Macaca mulatta: one gene and its partner. The protein of the gene in region 1 binds, or shares a complex with, the protein of each later gene. Links are inferred from orthologs where the notes say so. Each region holds a gene or a part of one and is shown in the gene's direction. Other genes may lie near its edges. The genes, in order: CYFIP2 and BRK1.

Evidence for each region.
Region 2: CYFIP2 (region 1) and BRK1 share a complex: the UniProt entries of both Homo sapiens proteins name them as parts of the WAVE1 complex. The link is inferred for Macaca mulatta from reciprocal best matches to the Homo sapiens genes CYFIP2 and BRK1.

The regions. Positions count from the first base shown.
Region 1 is NC_133411.1:166,199,374-166,203,184, forward strand, and holds part of CYFIP2 (cytoplasmic FMR1-interacting protein 2), read left to right. Parts: intron 1-569; coding exon 570-646; intron 647-3,295; coding exon 3,296-3,404; intron 3,405-3,811. UniProt on the Homo sapiens protein: Involved in T-cell adhesion and p53/TP53-dependent induction of apoptosis. Does not bind RNA. As component of the WAVE1 complex, required for BDNF-NTRK2 endocytic trafficking and signaling from early endosomes.
Region 2 is NC_133407.1:148,959,592-148,964,010, forward strand, and holds the start of BRK1 (protein BRICK1), read left to right. Parts: upstream 1-1,382; 5' UTR 1,383-1,403; coding exon 1,404-1,521; intron 1,522-4,419. UniProt on the Homo sapiens protein: Involved in regulation of actin and microtubule organization. Part of a WAVE complex that activates the Arp2/3 complex. As component of the WAVE1 complex, required for BDNF-NTRK2 endocytic trafficking and signaling from early endosomes.

The DNA.
Region 1 (3,811 bases):
ATTAGCCGGGCGTGGTGGCGGGCACCTGTAGTCCCAGCTACTCGGGAGGCTGAGGCAAGAGAATGGTGTGAACCCGGGAGTCGGAGCTTGCAGTGAGCCAAGATTGTGCCACTGCACTCCAGCCTGGGCGACAGAGCGAGACTCCGTCTCAAAAAAAAAAAAAAAAAAAAAATTGCAAAGCAAAGTAAAATACAATGAAAAATAACATCTATCAGAAGAGAGAGATGGAGAGGCTGCCGAGTTAGCAGACAGATTCAAGCACTGACGGGTTCTGACGGTCTGTTCGTTGCATCCCTCCAGGCAGGCAGCCTCAAAACAGCTAAGGAGGGGGTCCGTGGGGAGGTTGGTTCCTTTTTGAACTTTGCCTTGTCTGTTGACTGACTGAGGACCCTGAGAGCAAGGGACCAAACCTCCCAAACTTAGCCACAGAATCTTCTTTTTCCCCTTCAAAGCGTCTTTCCCCAGAATGCACTTTGGGCAGTCCTGGCCGACTGCCCTCTTTCAGTTGGCTCGGTTTCTGTGATTAAGCTGAACGGGCACCAGTGATGTTCCTGCTTCCTCTCCACCAGGTGAACCTGTGTTTTGATCAGTTTGTCTACAAGCTGGCAGACCAGATCTTTGCTTACTACAAAGCCATGGCCGGCAGGTAGGAAAGCCCCAGAGCTGTGAGTAGCAATCTCTTAAGACTGCCACCTGGAAGATGTGATTTTCCATTGTGAAACCTCCCTTCTTCTTTAGCCCCTGAGGAAAACAGAGCCATTCCACAGGCCCAGACTGGGTGCTGAAATAGAGTGGAAAGGAAACTAAATAAATAGAGGGCTCACCTCACACAGACTGCAGTCTAGCAGGAAAGACAGACATTGACTAAAAGCCGATGAGTGCACAGTGACAAGGAGGTTACATGCTCTCTGTGAGGGAAAAGCTCGTGGGAACGTACGACGGTTAAACCTTTGGGGGTGGGGAACTAGAAAGGCCATCTTGCGGAAGTGGCATCTGAGTTCTTATCTGAAGTTGGTAGGAGTGAAGAAAGTAAAAGGAGGTGAAGGATGTGGCAGGAAGTTGCAGGCAAAAGGAACTGCTTGTGCAAGGTCCCTGTGGCGGGAGTATAATGATAACAGCCTGCCAACCTCACAGGGCTGTGGGAGGATTCCTGTGAATTAATGCATGTCAGTGTCTCTTCACCACCACTAGAGGGGGCAGGCTGCCTGCTAAGGCTGGGGAGGTGGGCAGGGCCAGGGCACGCCGGCTTTGTGGCTGTTTCTCCCAGGAGTGGAATGACTCCGAATGGTTTCAAAAGTACAACAGTGACCCGATTCGATTTTTATTTACTTGTGAAAGTTTACTCCCTTAAAAATATAAATGTACGGAGAATGAATTGGAGAAGAATGGGTGTGTGCAAACCAGACAGGAGGCCAGTGAAGAAGTCTGGATCAGAGATGTATCAGGCTTAGAGGCTCCTTGGTATTGCCACTATATGTTGGTTCAAACCCTCGTGAGTTCTTGGTTTTCAAGAACCTGTAACAGCACTGATCAAGGAAAACCTCAAATTTATATATAGGTATTTCCATTCTTATTGGAAATCCAAACATACCAACCAGTAATTTCAAGGATAGTTCCTTGCTTTAATAATTTCTCTATGAAACGGATTTACTTCATTTTGCTTTTAACAGCCAAAGTAGCCCTGATATATTTCAAATAGGAGTTGATGTGCAGCACATATAAGTTTCTGTTAACATAGGATGTGCATTAAATAATGCGACTCTTAAAGGCTGGAAAGTATAGAAAGCATGCATGTAGGATTTCAAGGAAAGCAGAGAACACAGCCTTTCACAGAGTAGTCAATACGCATCTGTGGATTGAATGGGATGTGGTTCTAACAGTGAGTTGGGTTTCTGGCTTCTATAAGACAATTCTGATTCCAAATACACTGTTCCATCATCTATAGAAACAGACTCAGGCATGTCGAACCCTGGGTCTTCCTTTGTCTAACTTATGGGCTTTTATCTACACCCTTCCCTGTAAGATCAGTGATTTTTTAAAGTGTGGAAAGTTGAGGAGGTTGAGAGATTCGGAGAAAACCCAGGAGGAAAACCATGAGCTAGGTCAGTCCTGTTCATTCGAAATGCCACATGGTCACAAACGTGAGCCAGAGATGTTATTTTAAATTTTTTAGTAGAGGTATTTTAAAAAGGAAAAAGAAGCAGGTGAAATTAATTTTAATAATATATTTAACCCCACATATCCAAAACATTATAATTTTGACATATACTCAATATAGGAATTATTAGAGATTTTTCATTCTTTTCTTCTAAGTCCTCAAAATCCTGTGTTTTACAGCCCATGTCAATTTGGACCAGCCACATCTCAAGTGTTCAGTAGGCACATGTGGCCGGTGGCTACTACTTTGGACAGTGTAGATTTAGATCATGTCTCTTTCTTTAGGTGGCTTTTAGTTATGTCTAGAATACACCGAGCCTCTGTACTAGGATCTGTGTGGCCCTACCTGGTTTGGCCCTGGTCTAATGTCATAAATTCATTTTGCACCATACGGTGCAACCTGCACTGTACTTTATCCACACTGGCCATCTTTCCCTTTCTCAAACGTAACCAAGCTCATGGTGTCGATGATAGTGCTCCCCTAGATCTTTCCGATTTTATCATTCAGGCCTCCATTTAGCAAAACTTCTTTAGAGAGACTTTGCCTGACTTCCTAACTCCAAATGATCCCATTTTCTTATTTTCAAAGCACTTGCTCCTCTGCAATCCATGCCTCAGTGTGAAAGATAGTAACACTCCCAGCTCATAGGGTTGTGGAGAGATTTAAAAGGACGTGTGTTTGTCTGTGTGTGTTTAAAGTGCCTGGGAAATAATAAACACTATGCAACTATTACCTATTATCTGAAATTATTTCATTCCTCTGTTTGTGTTTATCAGTCTTTCCTCATTCGAATATGAGCTCCATGAGGAGAGGCACCTTGTATTCCCAGTACCCAGAATGTTTCCTGGGATACACCAAGCAAGCACTCAATTGCTTTTGTGGTAAATGAATAAAAGAGGAAAGTGGCCCAAGTTCAGTGTTGCCCATCTTTAACTTAGAAACTCTGTTTCACGTATTGAGCTTCTGTGACTCAAAAGAAATGTGAAGTAACTTATCTAGAGCAGAAAACAATTTTGCTTAAGATATATAAGATAGTGCTCTGTGGGTAGATTCTATGATCTGAAATAGAAGTATCTGGGCAGTTGAGAGTCATTCACTGTCTGTTTACTGACCTTGTTTCACTTTTATTCCTTCCAGTGTCCTGTTGGATAAACGTTTTCGAGCTGAGTGTAAGAATTATGGCGTCATCATTCCTTATCCACCGTCCAATCGCTATGAAACACTGCTGAAACAGAGACACGTCCAGGTATGGGGAGCGGAAGCCACCATGGAGATGGAAGGGGCAGGAGAGAGCAGCTGTGAAGTCAGCCTAGAGATCAGGAATCAGGCCTGGGTACTGTCTTCCCGGCACGTTGCCAGTGTGGGTTTCTGAGCCTGGGTGTAGCACAGCCTCAGGATCTCATAAACAATAAGGAGGCATTGGGCGTCCTTTGGCTCAGGTTCTGGGCTTCTCCACCGTCTATAGCTGACCTCTGACAAGTTATGGCAACCAAAGCCTTCGTCTTCTCATCATAAGCTGCAGCCCACTTTTTCCAGTTGGGATGCCACTCAGAGATGGGTATATCTGTCCCTGAACAGGGCCCAAGTGCTGGTCTAAGTGAGGAAGACCGTGGCGCCTTTGAAACGAAAGCATGTCAGGGCAAATCCATGGTA
Region 2 (4,419 bases), on another chromosome or scaffold:
TTCCCCTTAATTTATTGTATTTGTTTTCATGTTGCTTGTGTTCATAATTAGCATTTAAATGACTGCATAATAGACTGGGCGTGGTGGCTCATGCCTATAATCCCAGCACTTTGGGAGGCCGAGGTGGGCAGATCACTTGAGGTTAGGAGTTCCAGACCAGCCTGGCCAACATGGTGAAACCCCCCCTCTACAAAAAATACAAAAATTAGCCAGGTGTGGTGACCTGAACCTGTAGTCCCAACTACACTGGAGGCTGAGGCTGGAGGATAGCTTGAGCCCAGGAGTTCGAGGCTGCAGTGAGCCATGATCATGCCATTGCATTCCAGCCTGGGCATCAGTAAGACCTTGTGTCAGGCCCAGCGCGGTGGCTCACGCCTGTAATCCCAGCACTTTGGGAGGCCGAGGCGGGAGGATTATCTGAGGTCAGGAGTTCGAGACCAGTCTGGCCAGGATGGTGAAACACCGGCTCTACTAAAAATACAAAAAATTTAGGCGGGCGTGGTGGTGTGTGCCTGTAATTCCAGCTACTTGGGCAGCTGAGGCAGGAGAACCGCTTGAATCCGGGAGGCGGAGGTTGCAGTGAGCCGAGATCACACCACTCCAGCCTGGGCGACAGAGCGAGACTCCTCTCAAAAAAACAAAAAACAAAACCTTGTCACAAAAACACAAAGTTCCTTCTGAAAGGGATTGTTCCAGTTTGCAGTGTGCCCACCTATTTATGACCATGTCATTTTTTAGACTCCGTCTAAAAAAAAAAAGAAAAAAAAGACTTGTATTTAGTGTGTTTTTTTTGTTTGTTTTTTTTTTTTGAGAGGGAGTCTCGCTCTGTCTCCCAGGCTGGAGTGCAGTGGCGCGATCTCCGGGTCACTGCAAACTCCGCCTCCCGGGTTCACGCCATTCTCCTGCCTCAGCCTCCTGAGTAGCTGGGACTACAGGCGCCAGCCACCGCGCCCGGCTAATGTTTTGTGTTTTTAGTAGAGACGGGGTTTCACCGTGGTCTCGATCTCCTGACCTCGTAATCCGCCCGCCTCGGCCTCCCAAAGTGCTAGGATTACAGGCGTGAGCCACCGCGCCCGGCTATTTAGTGTGATTTAATCGACTGTGCCCATCTTACTGCGGACACAGCCTGGAGCAGTTGAGGGAGACGGCAAGACCCCCCACGAGCCCGTTTAACACCATAACGCGCGTGCACTACAACTTCGCCGCCGGAGTCGAGGCTTCTGTTTTCTACAGCGTGGGAGTAGAGAGCAAACGCCAGCGAGGACGTTACATTGCACAGGCGTATCACAGTACCCGAGAATTCGTGGGCGCTCCAGAGGATGGGTGTGGGCTGATGGCGCAGGCGCGCTAGAGGCCTGTAGGGTCGGGGCGCCTGCGCAGTCGCTCTTCCTCAGGCGGCCGCCATGGCGGGACAGGAGGATCCGGTGCAGCGGGAGATTCACCAGGACTGGGCTAACCGAGAGTACATTGAGATAATCACCAGCAGCATCAAGAAAATCGCGGACTTTCTCAACTCGTTCGGTCAGCGGGCCAGCAAGGGGAGGCGGGGAGGAGGGAGGCCGCTGAGGCGCTTGGGCTGGGCTCCGGGGAGATGCTTTGAGAGGACTCCCGGAGCCTTCGGCTATTGCGGGTTTTCACTTCCTCCTTCAGGTCCCACCTTCTTCCTCCCGTCCTGACCCTCAGGCTCCGCTGGACAGTCTCTGTAGGATTATCCTGCCCTACGCTGAGCTCCTGGCTTCCTGCCATGCCCCTGGACCCATTCTACAAGTCCTTTTCCCAGACGGGTCAGGCAGCCCCATCCTCGCTCCGTGGTTCTCCTAAGTGGTCTCCCTGCCTCCTTTGTACTCTACATCCATTCCAGTCCCCACTTTGCACTCAAAGTGAACATCCGGGACCGTGTCACTGCTCTGTTTGAAGACTGTTGACGGTTCCCCATCTTTAGGATCTGCTGGAAACCCTCTAGCGTCATGACTTTTAGTTGGACCCGTTGTCAACCACTCCCGTCTTGTCCATTTCTTCCCGTCTCCTGTGTGTGCTGCGGTGAGAGTGGTTGGAGATGAGGTCAGAGGGATGCCAGGATCTTGGAAATCCTCTCTGTATTGCTAGTATATAGCTTGTGGTAGGTGTTCTGTCTACTTCTAGCCTGTTCCTCAGAGCTAGTACAGGTCGGGTGCCTTCAGCAGAAAGACATCTTTACCAGAGTCTTTCCTAGGCATGGCCTGCTCGTGACAGCCTTAACTTCTTATGAACAGCAAGCAAAGTAATCAAGACTCCTACCCCTTCTTCTCCAAGTGTTTAAGAGAACTTGGCACTGGTTAGATTTTCTTGTGTAATTACAGGATATAGGGATGCATCTAGTGAACTTTTCCTCAACTAGTGTACTTTGGAAAGATTTTTAAATGAATTATTCTCTAGCTAAAGGAATGATGGCCTTAGGAGTGTAAAGGTGACAGAGCAAGAGATGGTCAGAAAGCATCAGCGAGATATGCTAGAGCTCCATATGAGGCCCTCTCTTAAGGCATAGTGGGAGACACAGAATAAGAACCACTTCCTACATTCAAAGAAGTTCTAATCTTGAAGATGAAATAATGACAACTTCAGAACAAAGAAGAGCATCATTTTTGTATTAAAGTATTTTCATACAGGGTGTATAGGACTATAATCATGGCTGGGTTCAATGGCTCATATCTGTAATCCCAGCACTTTGGGAAGCCAAGTTGGGAGGATTGCTTGAGCCCAGGAGTTCAAGACCAGCCTGGACAACATGGCCAGATCCTATCTCTACAAAAAAACAACAATGACAAAAAATTAGTTGGGCATGGTCATGCAGACCTGTTGTCCCAGCTACTCGGGAGGCCGAGACAGGAGGATCACTTGAGCCCTGGAGGCAGTGAGCCATGTTCATGCCACTGCACTCCAGCCTAGGCGACAGAGTAAGACGCTGTCTCAAAAAAAAGAAATCCTGAGTTGGATTCTAGTAATGTAATTTCATTTCTGAGAACAGAATTGTACCAGTAAACTTTTAATTCATTATGTTTATCTTTGACATAGTCTTGGTATATCATACCCATTAAATTTATAGTGAATGAGTCTTGGGACTGACTGAAAATTGAAAAGCTTAAGCTTAGGATTTGTAAAGGAGAAATGTCTCTTTTCTTGCTTAATAGGCAAGGAGATATCAGCTCAGACATTATGTCTGATTTGTAAGAGTCACATTTTATGATCAGATGGAGAGTAAAGACTTTTTATTTGGGCTTTCCAACAATTTTTTTTTTTTTTTTTTTTGAGACAGGGTCTCACTCTAGTCCAGGCTGGAGTGCAGTGGCATGATCTCAGCTCACTGCAACCTCGTCTTCCTGGACTCAAGCTATTTTCGTGCCTCTGCCTCCTGAGTAGCTAGGTTTACAGATGTGCACCACACCTGGCTGATTTTTGTGCTTTTTAAAGTAGAGACAGGTTTTGGCCATCTTGCCCAGGCTGGTCTCAAACTCCTGAGCTCAAGTGATCCACCCACCCCAGCCTCCCAAAGTGCTGGGATTACAGGCGTGAGCCACTGTGCCCTGCCCCCAACAAATTCTAAACTAAGGAATTAGACATACAGAAGTCCAGTCTTTTGGAGCCAAAATAAATGACTTCCCTTAGCTTAGATCATTATCCTCCCTTAAAGTGATGATGATGGCCAAATGTTTGGAGTAATTACTAGGTGGTTTTTAAAGATTTTAGAAAGTGAATTTAGAGAAAATAACAATTAAATTCAACTAAGTAAGAAGATAATTATAATGCAGGATTAACAGTCAAAGGAATTTGACTTAGTAGTTAGGTGTACCTGAGGCAGGTTCTTAAAGATTGGCATGGTGGCTCATGCCTGTAATCGCAGCACTTTGGGAGGCTGAGGCGGGCGGATCACCTGAGGTCAAGTTTGAGATCAGCCTGGCTAACATGGTGAAACCCTGTCTCTACTAAAAATACAAAATTAGCTGGGTGTGGTGGTGCACGCCTGTAATCCCAGCTACTCAGGAGGCTGAGGCAGGAGAATCGCTTGAACCGGGGAGGTGGAGGTTGCAGTGAGCAGGGATCGTGCCACTGCACTGCAGCTTGGGCGAAAGATTAAGACTCCGTCTCCAAAAAAAAAAAAAAAGAAAGATTGACAATATCACAATGCAAGAGTTTAGAAAAAGACCCCACAAGCTGCAAAACTGGATAAATTTTAAGGATAGACTTGAGTATGTTTTCTTGATATTGGATAATTTAGGATGACTGTGTGTGGGATGTTTTTTTCCCATCCTAAGCCATTAGCAAGCTTTTACAATTGTCCCTTGAACAATACATGTTTGAACTGCAGGGATCCATTTACAGGTAGATTTTTTTTTGAGACAGATTTTCACTCTGTCACCTAGGCTAAAGTGCAGTGGCATGATC